Linked DNA regions of Lonchura striata. The protein of the gene in region 2 interacts with the protein of the main gene of each other region in a biochemical or structural test. Links are inferred from orthologs where the notes say so. Each region holds a gene or a part of one and is shown on either strand. Other genes may lie near its edges.

Region 1 (12,221 bases), on a different chromosome or scaffold from region 2:
CACATCTTTGTAAACAGCCACAATATTCCCAACCTAAAGGAATGTCATAATATAACTGTAAGAAGAAGGAAAAAAAATGAGCAGGAGAGCAGAGGCAGACAGGAAAACAATTTTCCCATCTCCCTAGTGAATATCCCCAATTCCTGCATTAAATGCTCAGAGTAGCAAATCCAAGCTATTCAATTGTCTTCCACCACACAGAAATTGTCAGGCTGATCTTGAGGGTGGAATCACTGTCAACTTTTCAGGCTGTTAAGCTGTTCTCCTGAAGAGATTTGCTCGAAGATGAGCAAAGCAAACCAGAAGATTCAGACAGGTAAGAGACACCTATCCATTGCAGAAGATGGCCTGCTCCAAATGGATCTGACAAGAAGGAAGAACCTACAAAAAGCCAGGAGAAAATGGTAATTTCACCCCTATTGAGTTTCATTGTTGCTTTTGCCAATTTATAGGAAAAAGGGAATTATTTAAAAGGTAGGAAGAGTCTGATGAACCAGAAATTAAATGGGCCATTTAACAAGGAATTCAAATATCTCCTCCCTCAAGTGAAAAACAAAGGTTGGGGGCTGGGGGGTGTTAATGTGGAACAGAGATGAAGTAGGTACAAAAATTCTGAGATTTTACCGCTTCATATAATCCCAGAATGGGTTGGGTTGGAAGGACCTTAAAGCCTATCCTATTCCATCCCCTTGTCATGGGCAGGGACACCTTCCACTAGCCCAGGTTGCTCCAAGTCCCATCCAGCCTGGCCTTTGGGCACTTCCACAGGTGTGGCAGTCACAGTTTCTCTGGGCAACCTGTGCCAGGGCCTCACCACCCTCACAGGGAGGAATTTCTTTCCAGGAACACAAATAACCCCATCCTCTGGGAGTGGGAAGCCATTCCCCCTTGTCCTGGCACTCCAGGCAAGGGTACAGCCAGCAAAAGAGGAGGGAAATGTCCAGAGGCAAAATTCAGGCTGAGAATAGGAAGGCAATGAGCAAGAGTTGCGTGACAGCATCCCAAAGAATGGCTCCCACACTTGGGCTTGGATTCATTAGGATCTGAGAAGGTTTTGGGACAACTGGAAGCCTGTAAAAGAACAAGGACTGAATGTATCAAAACAGCACCATGACAGTGGCCCCTGCAATCAAAATTAAAGGTTTCTCTCACACTGCAGAAGAGGAAAGCCAGCAGATCCAGAGAAGAGTATATTTGAGGAGGATGCATCTTTGGGGGGAAAGAAGGTGATTCATAAGAGCCTCATCTCCTCAAGAACTCCTACAGATGGGACAAGAATTAGCCATGTGAAAATCCCCTGCTAGAAAAGAATCAACACAGTGCAAGTCAGATGGAAAGACAAAAACAAGGGTCAGGAGTGTTTCTGCACAAATGCTGTAAGTCTAAAAGTATGATGGAAAAACTCAAATGTCTGGTTTGCAAGTGGACATAGCAAGTTCATTTAAAACACAGTGGAGAGTAGAGGAGCCACTAGACATTAAAAAAACACACAGTGTTAACCAAGCTCCATGTCCCACATGTCACCAGAGCAAATGCCAGGTCAGTGTGTGTGACACCAGGACCAAGTTCTTCAATAGCAAAAAGTGATTCCTTCCCAGCAGTGGATGAGAGAAGCAGCAACTCATAGAACCATGGAATGTTTGGATGAGAAGGGACCTTAAAGCTCATCATGTTCCATCTCCTGCCATGAGCAGGGACACCTTCCACAATCCCAAAGTGCCCCAAATCCTGTTCAGCCTGGCCTTGGACACTTGGACACTCCACTTGGGACAGACACAGCTTCTCTGGGCCACCTATGCCAGGGCCTCACCTTCCTCACAAAGAAGAATTTCATCTTAACATCTAATCTAAACTAATTCCTGACTTCACCTTGGATAGCAGTAGGAATATTGGTGTGAGCCCTACAGTGTGATCTGACCAAGCAATCAAAGCCAACCCATCTCTAGAGCAAGGCTAAATGTCCAAGAAGGAAACAAAATCTAAATTTACAAGCTTTTAGTAAGGGAAAAAAGGTTAGAAGCCACATGATCTATTATTGTGTTAATAAATCATCAGTCAACATCTCCCAAAAATTAAAATTGTGTTTATACACACTCTTGAGTATGTTGAGCTTGGCTTTTGGTAGCAAAATATGATGAGGTGACAGTAACAGCCTCACTATAACCCAAAGTCACACAGGAGGAGATGGGGAAGTGCCCTTGGTTAAAGCTGGTACTAGAAAGTCTCTTGGCCCAGCTTTCACAGAACAATTCAGCAGAGTCTGGACAACCCAGCTCAGGCAGCCATGCTAGGCAAACCAGAGCTGGCCTAAAGACCAGCCTAAATTGCTGCAGGGCTAATTATATTGTACAAAATGAAGCTGTGTCTCAGAAGTCAGGGGCTGTTGTCTTTTTTACCCTTCTCCTTCTTCCTTTTGCAGTGGACGGAGCACATCAACAAGGGAAAATCAGCTGATACACTCCATTGAAAAAAGCAAGAATACTACAAGGCAGAATCCACCAAAGATCTCTGGAGATAAAAACTACAGGATAAAAGGAAAAATCCTTCATGTACAGAAATAACTGGTAAAGAAGGGAGAAGAACATATCACTGGTCCATTCTGCAGCAAGGACTCACCAAAGGATTCTGCTTTACACAGAGCTGTGTTTCTAAGATGACAACATTTGCTACTCTGAATAATTCAGGATGAGAAGTAAATAAGAGCAATGACTCCAAGGAATTGCAGTAAAATCTCGTGATATGAGTGGGTGATACAATTCACAGAGCAGCACATCAGGAACAACCACCCTAACGTCAACTTCAAGAAACATGACAGACTGAACTCATGCCAACCCTAGGAAGCAGGACTACAGCAGAATATTCCACCAAAAAACATGGCTCCATGGGTTTTAAGATCACTAATGAACAAGCACAACATTTGTAATTACAGAGACAATAATATAGGATAACATACCTCTAAAAAGGTATCTGCACCATAAATATAACCCAGCACCTCTGTCAATGTCCTCCATTGTCCTGTGCCCCACTCCTCCTGCCTTACCTGTCTCAAGGAGGAAGCAGAGCTGAAGCAGAGCTGGTAATGACATGAAATACAAGGAGAGCTACAGAAAGTCTAAATATATGAGGACAATTCAGCCAAGAGACTATCAGGAATGGAAAAAGTATTTTCCTAAAATCATTAATATCATGAAGAGAAGTGTAAAGGTTCCTAAATTCAACACCTGGCTCAGGGAGGTCATGAACTGCTGGAGAGAGAAAAATAAAACATTATTTCCCTGGATTAGATCTGCTGTGTTTGTGTTCTCCCCTCCCCAAGCATCTGCTCCTGGTTACCAGTGAGCAGGATACCAGGCCAGATGGATTCCTGGTCTCATCTGGTAGCACTTTTTAAGGCATTACACAGGATTTCATCTGTTAACCTGAAAATACACAGTGGCTGATTGCTTCCTAAGAGCTGGAAAAGGGAGCAGTGTCAGGGCAGGGAAAGCTGCAAGTGGCTGTGGACTAGGATGGACTTAGGAACTTGCCCAGCTCACAGCTCCCCTCAGAGTGGAGTTCTGAACCTGCCTGAATAGTTTCCATTGGTGACTCCAGCACAGCAAACCAAGTTGTTGCCCACACAGAGAACTGGAACAGCATGAAAACTCCTATAGAAGAGCAAGATAGATGGGCTGGAATGAGGCAAGGTTACACACTTCAAACTTCACAAGAAACACTACTATGAACTAGGAAGCTCTTTAATCCAGGGAAAAGAGAGACAGGATATTAGCTTGTTGCCATGTCCCATGAGCCACCAACCTGCCTCAGACATGAAGGATATCAGCACAAAGGACTTCTCCGTGACACGGCACAGCATCCCAGAGAGCCCTCCCCTGCCATTCCCTGCTCTGCTCCCCTCAGGGATTAGCTTTGAGCAAACATGTGCAGGGAAGAGAGCAACAGAGAACAGAGAAAAGAGTGACTGTGGTTCGAAAATAGAGAGCCAACAGCTGGGCCAAGCTTTTCGAAAGCACCAATGGAGAGAAGAGCTGATTTATAGGAAGCAGCTCTGGCATAAACACCAGCAGGTATGTCCCAGTTAAATGTATTGTGAGAATCTGGTGTGAGTTTCCAGCCCTCATGTCCAGAAAACAGAACTTACACGAAGTACAGCAAGGAGCCCAAACTTGTGAGGGCTTTTGGCCAGCCGTTGAAAACACACAGTTATAGATTTGCAGAGGAAAGCAGAGAGATGAGACTCCTCTTCCCCACCACACAACAGCTCCTAAAGAATACAAATTGTGGCAGCCCAGTCCAGAAAAAGTTATTTCAGGGCAGGAACTGTTTAAAGAAACACTTGTATCTGAAAAAAGCTTAGGTGCTTACGAAGGGTGTGAGCATAAAGCCCTGATTTTATCAGGCCAATAGTCTAAAATTGCACTGGAGTCAGCAAGATTTTTGCCAAAAAGCTGGAATATCAGCGGTGCCGGGGAGCCGCTACACCAGCAACCAGAACTTCAACATGGAAACTGAGATTTCCCTGGCACCTCTCACCTCCATCCTCCACTCTTCCTAAGTACATCTGCATGTTTTTTACTAATAATGATTTCTTTTATTACACACCATGATATTTAAATTCTTTCTTATCTGGTCACACCTTGCCAGCGGTCACCTTCCCTGAACAAGAACTCCTGCTGATATTTATCATTGGCAGCACCTCCAGCTCATCCCTGACTCCAAGAGCTCCAGTGTGAACCCAGATTATTGTGCAAATAACCGGTGTGTGCATCTCTCTACGACAGCAATGTCACGAAACCCAAACTCTCTCATCAGTAACACTTCACCATCCAGGTGGCACTTCTAAAACTTGAGCAACTGGCAAGCATTGAGGAATTTTGCAGCCTGAATCTCTGCAAACTCATAATTCCAAGGCACTCTTTGTGTTTTTTGGAATGTGTCTGTGGGAAAATGCTGCTAATATTTGATAAGGGCTTCTCAACAGGAACAAAGCTCGTGATTCCCAGTTTACCCATCAACCTCTCCCAACAGAGTTACCAACACAACACTGAACCAGGGATGTAGGGATGGTTTATCTGGGTAGATCACAGCCAGCAGCTGGGGAGCTGAGAGAATGAAAAAGCAGATCCTGAAGAACCTGGGGAGTGGCTGCACAAGCTGACAGGCATTAGGTCACTAGTAAAAAAAAACCAGTCAAGTCTGAGGTCACACCCGTGACAGTGGGACTTCAGGCAGGTCATAGAAACCAGAAATGAGTGAGGTAGAAAATGTCACATGAAGTCAGGCACAGGAGGCAGCCCAACAGAGCTTGGACTCTGCTCAGAAGACTTCCCAGGAACAGAGAAGTCACTGTCAAGAAAGGCTAAAGGGGACTGCTGGTAGCCGTGAGACATTTGGAAGGGAAGATGTAACTAACCCTCCTGAGGCAGCTGAGCTGCCCCATCCCTGGAAGTGTCCAAGGCCAGCTTAGACGTGGTTTGGAGCAGTATGGTCTAGTGAAAGTGCCCCTGCCCACGGCAAGGGGTGGAATGAGATGACCTTTAAGATTTTCCCAACCCAAGCCATCCCGATTCCGTGATTTGGATAAGACAACAAACCCCAGCCCTTAGAGCTTCACAGTGTGCCAAACAGCATACAGAAATTCTTCCCAGACGTAGAGGGGATAAATAACTTCTTCACACAAATAAGTTGCTGATACACCTCCAGTTACACAGAGCACTTCGCTCCCTCAGACCGGGAACACCACCGGGTCCAGCAGTTCCCCAGGCACCCCCAGCTCCTTCCCCGGCAGGTCCCTGCCCGGCACCGCCGGGACAGTCCCTCAGCTCGGGCTGCTCCGACCCGAACCCCCCCGTTCCGCCCCGCGGGCAGCACCAGCCCAGCGCCCCGGACCCACACCGGGGGCAGCTGCGACCCCCGGGGTCCCTCGGGCCGCCCCACGGCGGCTCCTCCGCCGGCCGGCCGGAGCCGCAGCCGCCGCACCGGGAGCGCCGAGCCCGGCGGAGCCTCCGCCGCGGGCGGGCCGCGGGAGCCGCCCCCCGCCCGGGCCCCGCGCCGCGCCCCGCGCCCCCACCTGCTCCGCCGGCGCTGCGCTCCGCGGGCGGGCCGGGCCGGGCTGGGCCGGGCCGGAGCCGCCGCTGCTCTCCCCGCGCCCGCCGCAGCTCCTCCCTCACGGCACTCGACGGCCACAGCCCGACCCGGCAGCGCTCGGCGCCGGCACCGCCCCGCGCGGCTCCGCCCTATGGCCGCGCCGCGCCCGCGCCGCTTCCGGGGCACCGCGGGCCTGGAAACCGCGTGGCGTTGCCAGGGGGAGCGGCGGCCGCGGGGCTCCGCTCCCGGCCGGGCTCGGCGGCAGCCGCGCTCGGCACCCGCCGCGTTCGGCGTCAGCCGGGGCTCAGCATGCTCCGGGGCTCAGCTTGGCAATCCACTGGGACTCAGCGCCCTCCGGGACTCAGCACCCAGTGGGGCTCAGCATCCTCCGGGGCTCAGCTTGGCAGTCCACTGGGACTCAGCACCCTCCAGGGCTCAGCACCCTCCGGGGCTCAGCTTGGCAGTCCACTGGGACTCACCGTCCTCCGGGGCTCAGCACCCAGTGGGGCTCGGCATCAATCAGGCTCCACAGAAATCTGGGCTCAGCACCCAGTGGAGCTCAGCATCCTCCGGGGCTCAGCTTGGCAGTCCACTGGGACTCAGCGCCCTCCAGGGCTCAGCACCCTCCGGGGCTCAGCTTGGCAATCCACTGGGGACTCACCGTCCTCCGGGGCTCAGCACCCAGTGGGGCTCGGCATCAATCAGGCTCCACAGAAATCTGGGCTCAGCACCCAGTGTGGCTCTTCATCCTCTGGGGCTCAGTTTGGCAATCCACTGGGACTCACCCTCTTCCGGGGCTCAGCACCCAGTGGGGCTCAGCATCCTCCGGGGCTCAGCTTGGCAATCCACTGGGACTCAGCGCCCTCCAGGGCTCAGCACCCTCCGGGGCTCAGCATCAATCAGGCTCCACACAAATCTGGGCTCAGCACCCAGTGTGGCTCTGCATCCTCTGGGGCTCAGCTTGGCAATCCACTGGGACTCAGCGCCCTCCAGGGCTCAGCACCCACCGGAGCTCAGCATCAATCAGGCTCCACACAAATCTGGGCTCAGCACCCAGTGTGGCTCTGCATCCTCTGGGGCTCAGCTTGGTAATCCACTGGGACTCACCCTCCTCTGGGGCTCAGCACCCACTGGAGCTCAGCACCCAGTGGGGCTCTTCATCCTCTGGGACTCAGCCTGGCAATCCACTGGGACTCAGCACCCTCCGGGGCTCAGCATCCATCAGGCTCCACACAAATCTGGGCTCAGCACCCAGTGTGGCTCTGCATCCTCTGGGGCTCAGCTCAGCACCCCCTGGGGCTCGGCATCCGCCAGGGTGGTCCCTTCCAACCTGAACCATTCCTTGAGTCTGTGGAAGAGAAGCAGAAACCCACTGGGGTTGTCACCTGGATGCTCCCAGGCTCATTCTGGTGAAGAACTTGGCGTTTTCCAGATGGATGTTTTAAACTGGCATATTCATAGAATCACGGAATCACGGACTGCTTTGGGTTGGAAGGGACCTTAAAGACCACCTTGTTCCCTCCCTGGGGACCTTAAAGACCATCTCGTTCCCTCCCTGCTGTAGGCAGTGACACCTTCCACCCAACCAGGTTACTAATTCCTTGAAAATGGTTGAAAACATCATGAGGAAAAACTTCCTCCCCGGTGTGCAGGCCTCCAGCCTGGGGACAATTCCATTATCCAGCCACACACATAACAGCTTGCCAGCATATGGGCCCTACCAAGGATAAACCAAAGGTTTATTTGGAAAATGTGTTTAGATCCATAATTTAGGCATTACAATTATTTATTTCTCCTACTACCTTGTAATCCTGAGGCCGAGCTTGGAATTTTTTCCCTGATGCTGTTGTTAGCCGGAAAAAAAAAGCCCAGATCTAATCAAAATGGACATTTCACTTTAGGTTTTTGCTTTCTCTGTTCAGAACTATATGCACTCGCCTGACTCAGTACAGGTTTAATAAAGGCTTAATATTTCTTATTAAACATTTTAAATTGTCAATATCAAAAGTAGAGTGTCTCAATCCAGCCACCTGAAAAGCCTGTCCTGGCAGCATCTTGTCAAACCCTAGCCTGAGTCTCTACTCCACAATGAGTTTATTTTGCTTATTCTTTGTGCTATTATCTGTGGAAAATAATAATAATGTGTATATCACAGTATTGACAATATCTTTGATCAAAGGGAGAGGTATTTTTGCAATTCAGCTCCCATTTTTTCTACTCTGAACCATCTGGGCACTCCCAAAGAGCATCTTAATTCTGAAAAATGATTTATCATCAATTTTAGTCTGAGTTGTTTTTCTGCTAAGTCCTATTAAATGTGTGGATTCTCATTAGCCCTGTGATAATCCCTTGGGAGTTTATCTGAACCAGCCTGCGTGTTGAATGAAGGGGGTGGGGGTGGGTCAAAGCTGACCCAAAAACGTTTGGGGTGAGTGAGAACAGCAAAGGAGGTTCCTTGCCTCCTCATCCCCAGCCCAAACAGGTGAGATTCCAGCCTGATTCCCAAGCACCTTCTTATGAACAGAAAGGAAACATCCTGCTTCTCTTGCTGCATCTCTGGCTGGGATGAAGTGGCTCGTGGAGCTGGTGGGCAGGACAATTCCCCTTTGTCCAGAGCAGCGAGAAGGACAAAGAAGCTCCTGTTGAAGATCAGGCACAGGGAGGCACCACCCCAACATGCCAGCGTGGGCAGGGGGGACCCTACAGACAGACTTCATATCCTTCTGAGTAATGTCCAAAGGGGAAAAAAGCAAAGTCAAAGGAAAGACAAAGCTTAAAAGTGCATGTTTTGGCAGAGGTGAGAATATAGGAGGTACCAAGGGCTCACCCATCTCTCTTCCAATAGAAACAGCCCTGTAACCACTCAATCCAGAGCAGGAATATACACAAACAGGTTTGGAATTTACCAAAATTAGTAGTGCTCTAAAAGGAGTCGAGTGTTATCTCCCTTAACATTAGCAGGCAACACCTGAACTCTAAAGCAGGGAGGCTGCCCTCCAAAGACTGGGAAGTCAACAATCACAGCTCTAAATGGGACATGGTCTGGTGACAGAAAAAGCCTTGAAAATCAGAATAAACGATGAAACCCCCTCATCTGGGGATGAGATCCCTGAGATCTGGCAGTGGATTTCCCATGGCAGGGTAAGAGGTCAGCAGCCTGACAGCTGATGGCCCTGCTCCCCTCCCCTCTGTCTCTGTCCCCACGGCCCAGACATCTGCTGTCCCCGCCGAGCAGCTGCCCCCCTGTGCAGCCCTGGCTGCAGGACAGCAGCAGCAGATCCTTCCTTCCAGCTAAATCCAACAGAAATGTGCTGTCTGTCCTGTTCCGGACTTGAGGGGAGAAGGGGTCTGCCAGGAAAAGCTCAAAAGTGCTCTGGAGCAGCAGCAATTTGTAATTATCCCTATGAAGAAAAGGAAAAGCCTTAGGCTATGGGGATGAGATAGGATGGCATCTGTTTCATCACTGTCTCTTGCCCAAAGATCATTTTACCCTGTAAGATTTAAAATTCAATATATTAGGCCCTCAGGAATTCTTATTTCCTAAACACTTCCATCTCCTCTCCTAAACACTTTGTTTACTCACTTTGCAGCTGTTTTTGGAGCATCCAGCAGCTCCTGCTGAACCACATGCCCAGTTGTGCCAGCAGTGACCCCTGAGCTCTTATTTGTGATGTGGGTACATCCAACATCCCCTGGGGAAAAGTGTGGGTGCCCCAGGCTGGGTCAAAAGGAGCTCTTGGACCTTCAGGCTCAGCTGAGAACAGTTTATTGCTCATTAGTGCTCTCAGGGCTGGGATGTTCTCAAGGTCAGGGGTCAGATAAATAATTTGGACTACTGGAAGAAAATTGCATGTGTTGGGATGGAAATAAAATCTGCTGGGGGGAGTGGGTTGCCCTCAGTGCCCATCCCTGACCCTCCAGCACTGCTGGGTTTGAGGAAGCCATGGGGATTCAGCTGCCGACATGGGATTTTGTTGAAGCCATTTCCTTACCTGGCAAGATAACACAGACTCAGGAAATGAGCAATTCCAGTCTCTCGTCCATGCATTTCTATATTCTCTTCACGTTTCCTAAATAAACTGGTCCCAGGCAGAAGGCGCCGTGTCTGGTCCTGACACAGCCCAGCGTTTGTAGCTGAAGCTGCTGCTGACATCTATGGTCAGCCTGGGGTACTGGTGTTCAAAAGTGGAGTCCCGGGCTGGATCGGGTTGGAAAAATCTTTCAATTCCTCTCAATCCTGAGCTTTAGCACTATCTCTCTTTCTGAATTTTTCCCCTCATTTTCAGAAGAGCTGGGAGCTGTTCCTGTTTCCCTATAGACTCAAAGATTAGCAGCAGGGGCACAGCTGGAGCTAAACCAGCTCCAGCTCCAGGGAGGGTGGGCTGAAGGTCACCCTCCCGTATTCCCTTTGGAGCAGGAAAGAAGCCAAGTAAACATCTTCTCCTGCATTTTGTTCTTATTAAAAACCCAGCTTTAAGACTGCAGGTCCTGTTGTAAATATTTGGATTTTATCTGTGCAGATGGAACACATTTATTTGTTTATTAGAGGCAAAAGCAGTTTAGTTGCTCCTTAGTACCAAGTTTTGCTCTTTCCTGAGGTTCCCAGCAGGGTGGGTGCATACCACAGAGGCACGTATTTGGTCCCAAGCTCCTCACATCCCTCCACAGCCTCGTGTGTTCCAGCCCCATCAGATTTTATCTGCTTAATGATGTGTAAGAGCAATCCAGCACAGGAAGGACATGGAGCTGTTGGAGTGAGTCCAGAGGAGGCACCAAAATGGTCAGAGAACAGAGCAGCTCTGCTGGGAGGAAAGGCTGGGAGAATTGGGATTGTTCAGGCTGGAGAAGAGAGGCTTCAGGGTGACCTAACTGTGGCCTTGCAGTGCCTGAAAGAGGCAGCAAGAAACATGGAGAGAGACTATTTTTACAAGGGTCTGGAGTGCAAGGGGGAATGGTTTCCCACTGCCAGAGGGGAGGGTTAGATGGGATATTGGGAAAGAATTTTTTTTCTCTGTGAGGGTGTGGAGGCCCCTGGCACAGATTTCCCAGAGAAAATGCTCCATCCCTGGAAGTGTTCAAGGCCAGGACAGGGCTTGGAGCAACCTGGGCTGGTGGAAGGTGTTCCTGCCCATGACAGGGGCTGAGCTTTGAGGTCCCTTCCAACCCAAACCATTCTTGGATCTGTGATTCAGGTCTCTATGAGAATTGTTCCTTACTGAGCAGCTCCTCATCCTTCCCCCTTCCCACCCGGCAGCTGCACAGCCCTGATGGAGCAGCTGATCATGGATCACAGCTGAGGGCATGCAGGAGATGAGCAGATCTGATCAGAGCCCCGAGGTGTTTCCTGTCTCCCAGGCATTTTTAGAGGAGAAATGGAACTCAGGATACGCTGGTTTGGCAGGTCAAAGGGACAGGAAAGAGCTGCCACTAATGCCAATGTGGGACCTGTCACTGTGATGATGTTTTGTGGGGTATTAGGGCAAAGAAGTCTGTGGCTTGTTCAGATTTTCCCCCTTAATTTACATAATCTTTTAAAAATTTCTGTTAAGGAATGATCAATTGCTACTTCTCATTCAAACTTGAATTGCTTTTCTGTAACAACTCTCCTTTTTATCAATAGACTTTTTAGGAAGAGGTTTTTACAGCATTCACTGCTTTCCCCACCAGGCTGACCTACAAGAGCTGCCACTAAACTCTCCTGATGTGCTAAATTTAAATTTCAAGCTCCTCCTAAATTCCCCTTTTCATCTGCTCAGCAATATTCCATTATTTCAGGGAGCTTCTGAGTGAGCACAAGCAGAACCCCTGCCATTAAGACCTGTCACAAGGCCCCACTTGCTTTTTTCCTATGAATTACCCCAAAAGTTATGTGGCAAAGTTGTAACAACCACCATAACAAGTTTTATTTAGTTTTAGCCATTTATTGCTCCCCCAGCTTTCGGAGTTCTGATTCTTTAGAACAACTAGCTTGTTTTAGGTAAACTTCACCTCTAATCAGAGCAAGTTTCAGCTGCTCACCCACCTCTCTGGTGTCTTTCCAAATCCAGTTTCCCATCTTTGGGCAAAGAAATCTTCATTAACAGCTTTTACTACAATTAAGACACAACACAGGTGTGTGCTCAGAACGCTTCAGT
Region 2 (12,482 bases):
ATTTGCAACACCATTCTATTTGACTAATAATAAACCACCACAGAATATTTATACTGTAGCTTGTATGTCATTGATATTAGCTAATATTAAATTACCTTACCATTGACTACTATTTGTCCACAAGACCTAAATTCACTTACAGCCCAGCTTCCCAGGCACCAGGCAACTCTAAATTAACATAAAGTTAACATATCTCAAAGAATCCACACTAGTAAGTGAATGTGACTGACTGTTCTACCACCTAAATATTTCTGAATTTTCCAGTCAAGCTCAGATCAACACTGCTTAGGAATACAACTTGTAATACCTTTATTTGAATCAGCTTCATCAAGGTTTATGAAGGATTCATTGTCAGAGCAGATTCTTGGCTGGATGGACAGGTCTATTCCCAGTTCACGAAGTTTATCCAGCTTGGATTTCCTCACTTTTTCAGGCTGTGCCACCAGCCCAGGCCCCACTTGTTGGCTCTTTCTTTCACCTTGTGCATCTGGGGCTGTTTCCCCTCTTTCCATGAGGGCATCTCCAGATACTGGAGGAACTTCACTCTCCTTTTGCTCATCACAGTCAGTGCTCAGGCAGTTGGAGAGCTGCTGTTCCTCTGTGTTATCATCAGTTACAGTCCCTGTAACTGCATGAGAATCCTCCCTGTCCTCCCTGGGCTGCTCACCACAGTCCTCTGGCAAGTTCTTCCCTTCAGCAGCAGGAGGCTCAGCCACAGAAGCATCAACATCTCTGCCCAGGTTCATTTCTGGTTCAGTAGCTGCTGACTGATCACCTTCCACTGGCCCATCTTTGCAGTCCTTGCTCCCGATGGCTGCAGATTGTTGATTTAGGGACAGCTGGTATTTAGAGGACCTAAAAAAGGCAGAAAGAAACATACCACCCATGGTTAGTGTGAAAGGGAGATAAGCCTGAGGAGCCATTTCCTAATTATTGTCATTAGTGTGTAAGCAGAAATGAAAGACAGAAATCTGGAAACCTTCATTGTGAGAACTCAAGGAAATGTAAAGGTTTTGTACTGGTTACAGTATCAGAGTATGAAATTCCTGAGGGATTTTGTGATTACTGTAGCTTCAGTATCTTACTACACATTACTCAGAGAGGCAACAGTCCAAGTAAAATATTGGGGTTCAGCCTAAATCCCATTAAAGTAACTCTGCATCAGTAAGTTCCTTCATATGAGTTTCTCCTGACCCTCATCCCCAAAGTCATCCTGACTTTGTCAGGAGAGCAGCATTGCCTGATGTTAGAAATTATATTCTCCTAATTTCCTACTTTTGCAGATTTAAAGGAGCCTAAGAAAGTCTGGTTATCCTCCAAAGAAAAGCTAGAGATGTGTAAAGTTTATGAAAAAATCGGATGAGGAAGGTTTAAGTCCTTACTTCAGCAGGGCCATGGCATTTCCTTGACATGCTGGTCGAGGTCTGCTCTTGAAGAAGTCATGAACAGTTTTGGCCTCAGGCACATGATATGGGAGAGACACAGATGATTCTGCCAGAGAAAGATGGTGAGAGAAGATTTAAAACATCATCTGAGTGCCCTTTATTTGCCAACCAGTATCTTTATTTTCACTAGTTAAAAAAATACCTTTAACAGGTCCTTCAATAAAAATGGTCTTGCACCCTTAAAACCTCAGTAAGTCATATTAGGTCAAAGAAGGCTCTAACCTCCTGGGTAAATTCTTTCATTTTCTTCTCTGCATTTCTGAACGGTTTATACACCTTTCCATAGTAAGAATTTAAGTTTTACCTCTAATAAGTCGTTGGGTCTCACTGTGTAGTTGTTTAATGGCTTCTTTACTTAAGCGTGCTGCTTTCCGCTCCTTAAGGGGAGAAAAGAAAGGCTTCTGAAGTCAGGGAACAAAACATGGGGCTCTATTTCTACTTCTTAAATAGCTTATTTTTCCCTTTCAAGTAGCAAGGAGTTGGAATAAAGCAAGGAGTCAAAATAAATCCACTAAAAAAAAAAACAAAAACCAAAAAAACCAAAAAAGCCATACTGTGCACACAAAACCATTTTAGTCACGACAAACAATACAGAGTTTTAAAAAGATGAAGACTTCACCTTCCTTTTTGGCTCCTTTAATACAGGCTCCTCATTCTCCTCATCAAATACATGTTTGTAGCCTTCACTGTCAGGAAAATGTTCTTTGTTCTATGGGGCATAAGAAGAAATCCAAAGATTTATATCAATACACTGGCACTATCAAGGGCAAACACATCACAAATAACTGTACAGAACTAACACTGGTCAGCAAAGCCAGCAAGGTTCTCATAAACCAGCACAAACCCCACACAAGGGCAGATTCCAAAGCTCCTGCTACAGCATTATCTTTTTAACTTGCCAGAACAACATCCCTCCATCTTTAAAAACAAAAACCAGAAGGCTCTCCTCTCTTCTGCCACAGCAGTACAACTCCTCCATCATCAGAGTTTTAGAACCTGCTCAGCTACAAATTCCTGATAAATCCAGTAACCATGGAATGATTTGTGTTGCAAAAGACCTTAAAGATCATCCCTTTCCACCTCTGCCATGGGGACATTTTCCACTGTCCCAGAGTGCTCCAAGCCCTGTCCAACCTGGCCTTGGACAATTCCAGGGATTCAGGGGCCTCCCCACCCTCACAGGGAAAAATTCCTTCCCAATATCTCATCTAAACCTATTCTCTATCAGTTTGAAAAAGAGAACATTTACAATAATTTTTGTGTCACAGCCAACTGTTACCTTGTATTGTTTTATTTTCTTTTTCACAGCTGCTCGAATGGATTCTAGAGACTCTTCATCCTCAAGGGGCTGATCACTCTCCTCTTCCAAGCCATTATCAAAGAGGTCCTTGTCATCCAGCAGACATCCACTGTCATTGAAGGGAGGCCTCTCACCACCATCCACCTGCTTCCAGAAGAATAAATTATTCCTGTGATTCCCTTCAGAAGGTCCCTTTGGTTCTTTGACATTAATTTAAAATTACATTAAATCATCAAGTGTTAGGTTTTGTACTTCCTTAAACTGCAAATTAAATTGAAATGAACCTGCAGACTTTGCAGGTTAAACTTGTATGGTGTTCTGTGGATCTCAAACCTGCTGCAGGAATGTGGACACAACACTGAAGCTTTGCAACAGAATAACCACAAACAACAATAAATTTAACTTAGTTGAGAAGTTATCTGAAGGTTTGTACTAAAACACCCACCTCTGCCACAGGCTTCTTTTCTTTCTTCAGCTGTTTAATGGACTCCATTATTTTCTCCTTCTCCTTTCTCCTTCTGGGTTTTGCTACAGCTTCTTTTGCTGGCTCCTCTTCAATGCTGTGTTTGTGTTTATGCTTCCTGTACTTTTTCCCAGATTTTAGGGGTCTCTCCTTTTCCAGCTCACCCTCAGGCAAGCCAGATGTCCTGCCTGTTTCAAGGTTTTCAATCTGCAAAGGGTCACCAGTGTCACTGTCATCAGTGTCCAGCAGAGCTGGGCGAACCCGATGGGATTTATTCTTTTCAGTAGCAATATTTTCCTTTTCCTCCCCATTTTCCTTGTCTCCACCCACAGCATCTTCCTGCACAGGTGAGCCTCCATCCTCCTCCTCCTCTTCGCTCTCACTGTCCTGAAGCACCTTCTGGTTTTTTGCTTTTTTACGCACAAAAATTTCTTCTTCTGAATCTGGAGAAACACATGAAAATAAAAAAGGAAAGTGCAACAAGTTAATTAACAAATAACCAAATTTACATCCGTTAAATTTGACATATGTCACCATCCACAGCAAATGAGCTTCTCATGGAAGTGTGAAAAATCTTTCATGCTTCAAACTCAACTTTCCAAAATCCACTTCTCCCCAGAGAACAGCATTTAATTAACCCAAATTGATGTTAAAAGTTTCTAACCTTAAAAAAAAAAAAAAAAGCAAAGCAAAAAAAAAAAAAAGAAAAGCTGAAAACTCTTCACTGGTAGTGTCTTGCCTTGAAATAGTAATAAAAAATCACACTACATAGATTAAACAAGACAAGGAAAAAAGTGAATCAGTAATTAAGGCACATCCCATTCAATATTTTTCTTTCTGTAGCACTCTTCAGAGGTTTAAAGATGCCTACCCACATTCTGAGCAACAACAAGAATTTGGATTCCTACAGGTCAAGCAGTGACAATCTCCTAAAAGGTATTTACTAAACAAAAACTGTAGAGTTGGAGAAAAACAATTCATGGAACTGTTACGGACCTCTGTCCTCGAAGGAGGCTGTGCTCTTGCCAAGGGGGCCTGGGGAGGTTGTCTCACAGCTGCCCTGGCCACTGTCAGAGTCGCTGTCCAGGGGTTTCTGCAAGTCTGGGTTCAGATCTGCCAGTGGAAGCTACAAAGCAAAATACCATTTTTTAAATTAAAAATTTCTTAATGAGGTAACGTAATGTTTATGTAGTCCTGACTGCTGCCATCCAAATTCATTCCAAAACCTCACACACAAGGAAATCCATATGCACTCTCCGTATAGTCTGATTATGCTATTTACATATTTAGTAATACTTATTGTTATTATTGATATTTACCATATTTATCAATACAAGTGACTATTTACATGTGGGGTAGCATATTTACATATAAGGTAGTATACGTGGGAGTTTACACAGCAAAAGCACAGAACTGACATTGGCTGATGTGATGGCATTCACACGGGAGACTTTCACTCGTTATTTTATTATTTATTTATTTTTATTCAGACCCCTCACGGCGGGCCCCGCAGCCCTCCCGGCATGCACCGCGCCCCTGGAGACCGGCTGAGCGCGGCCTTCCCAGCGTGCCCCGCGGCCGGCAGGGCGGGCACGGGGCATGCCGGGAGCTGTAGTCTGCCAGGAAGGGCGAGCCCAGTGACGGCGCGGGATCGCCCGCGATCACGGGTGGCGGGCAGAGGTGGCTGGGACTACTGACTCCGCCACCGGCAGTGCTACCCGAAAGAGCACCGTACCGAAACGGTTACTGGAATCGCCACTTCCCTCGCTGTCCCTCCCGGGCCTTCCACCTCGCCACAGCCCGATGAGGCGCAAGGCCTCAGGCAGTCGCGAGCTGCCTCCGCCGTCAGCAGCCGGCCGGCCATGCCGAACGTAGGGGAGCGGCAGGACTCACCTCAGCGGAACCCTCCGTTGTTACCGGTACCGCCGCCATGGCCCGCCCGCGCTCCCGCCGCCCGGGGACCGCTTCGAGCCTTCGCGCGCTGCCCTGGCCCCGCCCCCGACCGGGATCGTCCAATGGCTGCCCAGAACAGCGCCGTGAGCCCCGCCCCCGACCGCCTTGCTGGGCGGGGTTCCTTGAAGCCACGCCCCAGCCGCATGGACCAATCGCGGCTCCCGCTCTCGGGCCGCCCGCCAGCACCATTGCGCCGCCTGGCGGGGGGGGCGCTCCCCGCGCCCGGGCTGGGGCGGGACCGTGAGGGGATGTGAGGGAATGTGAGGGGATGTGAAGGGATGTGAGGGAATGTGAGGGGATGTGAAGGGATGTGAGGGAATGTGAGGGGACATGAGGGGATATGAGGGGATGTGAGGGACCGTGAGGGGATGTGAGGAAATGTGAGGGGGACATGAGGGAATGTGAGAGACCGTGAGGGGATGTGAGGAAATGTGAGGGGACGTGAGGGAATGTGAGGGAATGTGAGGGAATGTGAGGCACCGTGAGGGGATGTGAGGGGACATGAGGGAATGTGAGAGACCGTGAGGGGATGTGAGGAAATGTGAGGGGACGTGAGGGGATGTGAGGGGACATGAGGGGATATGAGGGGATGTGAGAGACCGTGAGGGTGTGAAAAATGCGTATTACATGGCTCTACGCAGATAGTTACTATATGTATTATGTTATATTGATTAGTTGTGCTTTTGTAGTTAAAATGAAGACTTTAGTAGTTAAAAAATAAAGACTCTGTATAAGGGGGGAGGTTGGTTTTTTTTTTCTTTTTTTTAGGAATGAGATACACACTTCGAGGAACACCTAAATCTTCCAAAGGAGAGAAATTTATGGCTTCTTATCAGAAGAAACTAATTTCTTCAGGCCTTGCTCTGACTCGGAGATACCATGGGGATTAAAAGAAACAGCTGACATACAACAGAGTTTTTTGTTTAGAATAGAATGTATGCATAACCATGAATGATGTATGAATATGCAACAAGTGTATTGGTTTAAGGGTGATTCCTTTGTTCACAAGGGATGCTTGTCATGACTGAGTGTCTGAGAGCATCCAGACCTCTGTTAATTCTTTGCTTTTTATTGTCTTGTGATTGTCCTAACTCTAAACTTTATTACTCTAATTGTATTGCTATTTTTATAAGCATTTTATTATTATTAAACTTTTAATATTTTTTAAACCAAGTGATTGGCATTTTTCACAAGGGGACATGAGGGGATGTGAGGGGTTGAGGGGGAGCGAGAGGGACCTGAGGAGAAGTGAGGGGCTGGGAAGGGCAGTGAAGGACCTGGGGATTTACAGCTCTGTCAATTATCGACATTGCAGGGACAGGGCTCTGCTGCCAAAACATTTCACGTTGTTTCATGGCTTAAACAGAGCCTATGTTTCGTTTTGATCTTTGGAATATGTACATGTCCTGTCTCCAGGTGACCATGTGGGTGAGAACACACGAGTCAAGCTTATCGTTATTAGATACACACAGCTATTACTGTCCTATTTACAGAATAAAATACATGCATTTTCCATTGGCTGCTGTACAGACATACTCTGAGCCAACCCTACTCTTGTTAGGTGAATGAAGGCTCAAACCTTTTGGGTAAATTCTTTCAATTTATTTCAATTTCTACCTTGAATTTCTGAATATTCCCTCTACATTCAAAAGATTTAAGATTAACCTCTCATAACTCATCATTATATAGTTGTTTAATGATTTCTTTACTTAACCTTGCTGCTTAATGCTCCTTAAGGGAAGACAAAAAAGACTTCTGACTCCAGAAAAATTTACTGAAAACATATAAGTCAATGAAGAACTGCTCAACAGATGCAAATCACTTTATATATTTCACAGAATATTTGAAGTTGGAAGGGACCCACAAGGATCATCAAGTCCAAGAGCAAGGTGAATGGCCCATACAGGGATATTCTAGTACAGAATCAATCCAAGTAGGAAAATATTCTACTTTATCCATTTTTGCTACGTTTAGTTCTGTAGTTCTTTTACAAGTAGCTGGAGGGAGAGCCTTGAGCTGGGGTGAGGTCAGGGACCCTGTTCTGATCCCCAACTGGGGGTATTTGGCATTTTTTTCATAATTACAATTACTTTGTAGAACATACTGCTACAGTAATGCATTTCCTTCCATGTCACCCAGTGGAAATCTGCTATCACTGAAGGCGAAGAAAAAATAAAAAGTGTTTTGGGGTGTTTGGTCAGTTTTTTATTTGGGTATTTTATTGATATGGTTTTACCAGGGACAAGGAGCAGATAGAATGATCTACCATGTCAGTTCACATGGAGCCAACAAGCCTGAGAACAAAGGAAGTGAGAAAAGCAAATGTCCATGGAACCCACCACAAACACCACAGTTCTGCTTTCTGCTAGCTGCTGCAAGGAGCTACAGTGATTAGTTTAATAATTAGTGTTAATAACAGAGGGACAGATGCTGGCTCTGCACAAACACACCTCCTCATGGCTGTGCCGGGATGGAAGTCAGAGTCAGGTGACAAGAAAAAGGTGACAAAAAGATTGGCCTCATTAGCTAATTTCTGCTCCTGGGTTGTTACTCATACCTGGCACGCAGAGGCAGCCATGGAACAGGTAAAATGTTTGCCATTAAGGAGGTTCTACATGGCACACAGACTTTCAGCACTGGATCAAGCCCCATATTGAGATATTTGTGTTATGAAAGCTAGTTTAGAAATCTGTTTTTTTACTAAACAACATACTCCTTCCCCAGCTTGTAGCAGATGAGGTGTTTAGAAGGAAATCCACAGAGATAATCCTGTCATAACTCTGATATGTCATTCCTAAATCCAGTCTTGACCCTGCAAATGTGGCTATTTTCAATATAAGGCTGGGTTAAATTACAGAAATAGGGTTCTGACTGCTGTGGCAGTAGGGATGTCTTACTATGTGTGTAATATTTATCAAGTTAATTGGATTTATAAAGCAGTGAGTAAAGGCTTTAGTTATCACACTCAACATCTTACAGGACTGAGCCTTTGTGTTGCAGATTTCTTGAGACAGAGATTGTATCTTTGGTGTTTCTTTTTTTAAAGTACTATTTGTGTTTCCATACATATGTGTTTTTTCTACATAGATATGCTGAATAATAGCATGGAAATGTTGTCAGATGCTGTGGAGTTTGTTACCGGTCTGGTAAAACTGGTTTTTTCCTCAGGTGTTCATCAACTGCTGTCAGGGAATTATGAGAGAATCTCAGATCTACATGAGAATCTCAGATTTCATTTAATTTTAAAATAGTTTTTGATGTTTCAACTTGGAAAATATCAGCCCCACAGGTTAAAAAAAGCAAATAAAGTGGACTCAGCATTTATTATTTATAAAATGTTTTGACTTCTGATTTTCTGTTGAGTCAGCAGAGAGCTGTTGGTTAAACAGAACCCAGGAGGTGCACAAGGGAGCAGCTTGCTAAAATAGCGTAAACTGCTTAAAAAGGCTAAAAGTCCCTAGGCTCTTTATTTAATGGCACATGGCTGGAAGTGTTGTCTCTTTAACAGAGGACAAATTTATTGTCTGTGAGGATAAAAGGACATGGCCATGGCAAGGTTCTCCCCGGGAGCTGAACGCCCTGGTCAGTGGAACACCACGGGTTCCCACCCCTGACGCTTCCCAGGCATCTCCTGGGTGATGACCAAGATTGTGCCATGGATCTCCAGCCCTCATGGATCCTGAGCTATTCTGTGGCCACAGAGCGCCTCAGGGGCTGGTGGTCACAACCCTGAGAGGTTCAGTGCTGTGGCTCACCTGTCTTGTACAAATCCTGTTTTGTCAGGTGTCTTAAACCCCACTGAGGCTGTTTAGCTGGTACTGGGAGTTATTCGGGGTGTCATCAATTGAGCAGGGAGAATTCCCTGGTTTTGGGGAGCAGTGGAGGACTGGTGAAGCTGGAGCAGCATCACTGTGGGCAGGCAGGGTAGCTGTCACAGAGTGTGCTGGAGTTCTGGGTTAATTATCAAACCTGCAAACAGGTGTTGGGTTTTGGGACAGAACAGGGGAGGTACAGACAGACAATCCCCTCCTTCCTGGTGCCTGAGGGGCAGCAGCTCTCACCTCTACTGAGGTGGCTCTGGAAGAGCCTCATGCATGAAATGCACCCTGGGAAGAGCCAGCAGGTCAGGGAGGGAATCCTGACACCCAGCCCTAGTGAGGGACATCTGGAGTGCTGTGTCCAGTTCTGGGCTCCTCAGGACAAGAAAGACAAGGAGATACTGGAGGGGGTCCAGCAGAGGCCACAAAGATGATGGGAGGTCTGGAGATCTCTCTGTTGAGGAGAGACTTTGGGAGCTGGGCCTGGTTATTCTGGAGAAGGGATGGTTGAGAGGGGATCCCATCAATCCACAGCAACATCTGAAAGGCAGGTGCCAAGAGAATGGTGCCAGACTTCACCAAATCACAAAATTGTTGGGGTTGGAGTGGGACCTCTGCAGATCATCCAGTGCAATGCCCCTACCAAGGCAGGGTCACCCAGAGCAGGTGACACATGAATGTGTCCAGGTGAGTTTGGAACCTCTCCAGACAAGGAGACTCCATAATCTCCCCAGGTATCCTGTTCCAGTGCTTGGCCACCCTCATAGAAAGTTCATCTTGATGCTGAGGAAGTATTTTAGTTTATGGCCATTGCTCCTCACCCTGTTGCTGGGCACCACTGGAAAGGATCTTTTCACTGGTGCCCATCACAGTGTTTCACCCTAACATGAGGAAGAACTTCTTTATGTTGAGGGTGGCTGAGCACGGGAACAGGTGTCCAGGGCAGGCATGGAGTCTCCCTATCCGGAGACATTCCAAATGGACGTGTCCCTGTCACCTGCTCTGCTGACCCTGCCTTGGCAGGGGGTTGGGAGTGGCCGATCTGCAGAGGTGCCTTTGAACCCGAAATATTTGGGGTTCCGTGGTTCAGAGCTGTCAGTGGCCGATCTCTAGAGCTGCCTTTGAACCCGCAATACTTGGGGTTCCGTGGTTCAGAGCTGTCAGTGGCCGATCTCTAGAGCTGCCTTCGAACCCGCAATATTTGGGGTTCCGTGGTTCAGAGCTGTCAGTGGCCGATCTGCAGAGGTGCCTTTGAACCCGCAATATTTGGGGTTCCGTGGTTCAGAGCTGTCAGTGGCCGATCTGCAGAGCTGCCTTTGAACCCGCAATATTTGGGGTTCTGTGATTCAGAGCTGTCAGTGGCCGATCTCTAGAGGTGCCTTCGAACCCGCAATATTTGGGGTTCCGTGATTCAGAGCTGTCAGTGTCCAATCTCTAGAGCTGCCTTCGAACCCGCAATATTTGGGGTTCCGTGGTTCAGAGCTGTCAGTGGCCGATCTCTAGAGCTGCCTTCGAACCCGCAATATTTGGGGTTCCGTGGTTCAGAGCTGTCAGTGGCCAATCTCTAGAGCTGCCTTCGAACCCACAATATTTGGGGTTCCGTGGTTCAGAGCTGTCAGTGGCCGATCTCTAGAGCTGCCTTCGAACCCGCAATATTTGGGGTTCCGTGGTTCAGAGCTGTCACCTGTTGCGGCTGCGGGGTCGCGCGGGCGGCGTGCGCGCTCCCGCGGGGGGGGCGGCGCGCGTGCGCGAGCCGGCGGCGCCGGGCAGCGCGGAGCGGCCTCTTCCTCCCTCCCTTCTCCTCCTCCTTTTCCTCCTCTTCCTCCTCTTCCTCCTCCTCCTCCTCCTCCTCCTCCTCATCCCCGGCCCGGGAGCGCGCTCGGGCGCGTGCTGGCGGCGGCGGGGGCGCGCGCGGGCTCGGCGGGGGCGCAGCGCGGGGATTGTTCGCGCCGCCGCTCGGGGAAGCGGAACGCGGGGAGCGCTCCCCGCCGCGCCCCCGCTGCCTCCTCCTCATCCTCCTCCTCGGCCGCCGCCGCCTCCCGCCCCGCCGCCCCCGTGTCCGCGCCGGACCCCCACCCCGCCGCCAATATTCCCGAGATCAAGCGCTACGCGGCGGCGGCGGGGCCGGCGGCGGGGCCCGGGGCGGGCGGCGGGGCCGGCGGCGAGAGCAGCGAGGCCGCCACCGCCGCCATGGAGGCGCTGGGACCCGGTGAGAGGCGCGGGGGGGCGCGGGGGCCGCGGCCTGCCGGGCCGTGACGGCGGGGGAAGGAGGCCGCGGGCCCGGCGGGGCTCCCCGGCTCCGGCGGGGCTCCCCGGCAGCGGCGGGGCCCGCTCCCAGCCCGCCCGGCGCGGAGGAGCCGCAGCGGGGCGCGAAACTTTGCGCGGTGGGTGCGGGGGCCCTCACGGCCTCACTGCTGCCGGGGACACCGGGGATGCGCCTCGCCCTCGGCGGGGAGAACGGGACGGGCTGGGAGCGGGACAGCCACAGCGAGGGGACGGGGCCGGGCAGGGCTGTAGTGTCACAGCGATGCGCGCCCTGCAACCTGTGCAGTGACAAGTTTTGTATTTGACATTGAGCTATTTCGGAGAGTTTAAGGTGATGCTGTCTGAAAATCCAGCTGTTTATTTCTTTAACAAACTTCGCTTAAATATTGGTGGGTTTTTGCATGTGGTGCTTTCCTGCTTGTGTCCTATTCCATGATTATTCTCCCGTCAAATGCCTGCAGGATGTATTTCTAGCCCTCAGTGGCCTGTACACCTGACCCATCACGTTCCCATTGGTATAAGCGAAGTGATACTAATTTTGGTGTGATAGAAAACGTTTATTGACACAAAGGTGCAATTCCAGAAGAATCCAGAGTTTGAGGTAGTGAGGGCTGACTCAGAGCCTGCTGTATGTGTGTGATGTATCGTGGCCTCCCTGAGTTCCAGCTGGAGAAGCAGATTCTCTTTCAGTTTTGAAAACTGCTTCCTGTCTGAAGCAATTCAGTTGAGGTGCTTAGTACATAATGGTTGTAGGGTGAGAGAAATTAAAATATAACAGCACATACAACACTAGTCAGGCTGATAAGATAAAAATCCTGTGACACCAGGGCAGCCTGGCTTCAAATGGGAAAACAATTTGTAGCTGATTCTCTAGAATCCTTTAAGAAATAACTTTAGGAAGGAGGAGATGTAAGTTTTATTTCCTTTGATCAGAACAGAGGGCAGCATTGCTGTGCTTGTCTGAACAACATGTCAATAGCAAGGGAGGAAAATGGGTAAATATAGTTGTCATTTAATCTCTTGCAGGAGGTCAGTGCCTGCACTTCCTTCAGACTAATTAGCATGGGATTAATGGATCATCTCTCGTATCCAAATAAGCACAGCAAACTTTGATTGCCCTCAATGATTCATGCTTGTCAAGACAGCTGTAGTTTTTTTAAACAATAAACTGTAACTTTTTTAAACACTAACTGTACCCTACAACTGGTCTGACCGTGACGGAGCGTGATCCGTCAGGT

The links.
Region 1: of the proteins of CLSPN (region 2) and CSNK1G1, one has a biochemical effect on the other in vitro, tested with the Homo sapiens proteins (2 studies listed by BioGRID). The link is inferred for Lonchura striata from reciprocal best matches to the Homo sapiens genes CLSPN and CSNK1G1.

What each region holds. Positions count from the first base shown.
Region 1 is NC_134613.1:7,427,549-7,439,769, forward strand, and holds the start of CSNK1G1 (casein kinase I), read right to left. Parts: upstream 6,147-12,221; 5' UTR 6,071-6,146; intron 1-6,070.
Region 2 is NC_134628.1:3,984,266-3,996,747, forward strand, and holds the start of CLSPN (claspin), read right to left. Parts: upstream 5,211-12,482; 5' UTR 5,141-5,210; coding exon 5,102-5,140; intron 4,335-5,101; coding exon 4,205-4,334; intron 3,652-4,204; coding exon 3,191-3,651; intron 2,890-3,190; coding exon 2,725-2,889; intron 2,155-2,724; coding exon 2,065-2,154; intron 1,823-2,064; coding exon 1,750-1,822; intron 1,492-1,749; coding exon 1,383-1,491; intron 856-1,382; coding exon 308-855; intron 1-307. Other genes in the region: protein argonaute-4, read left to right, coding at 11,170-11,188.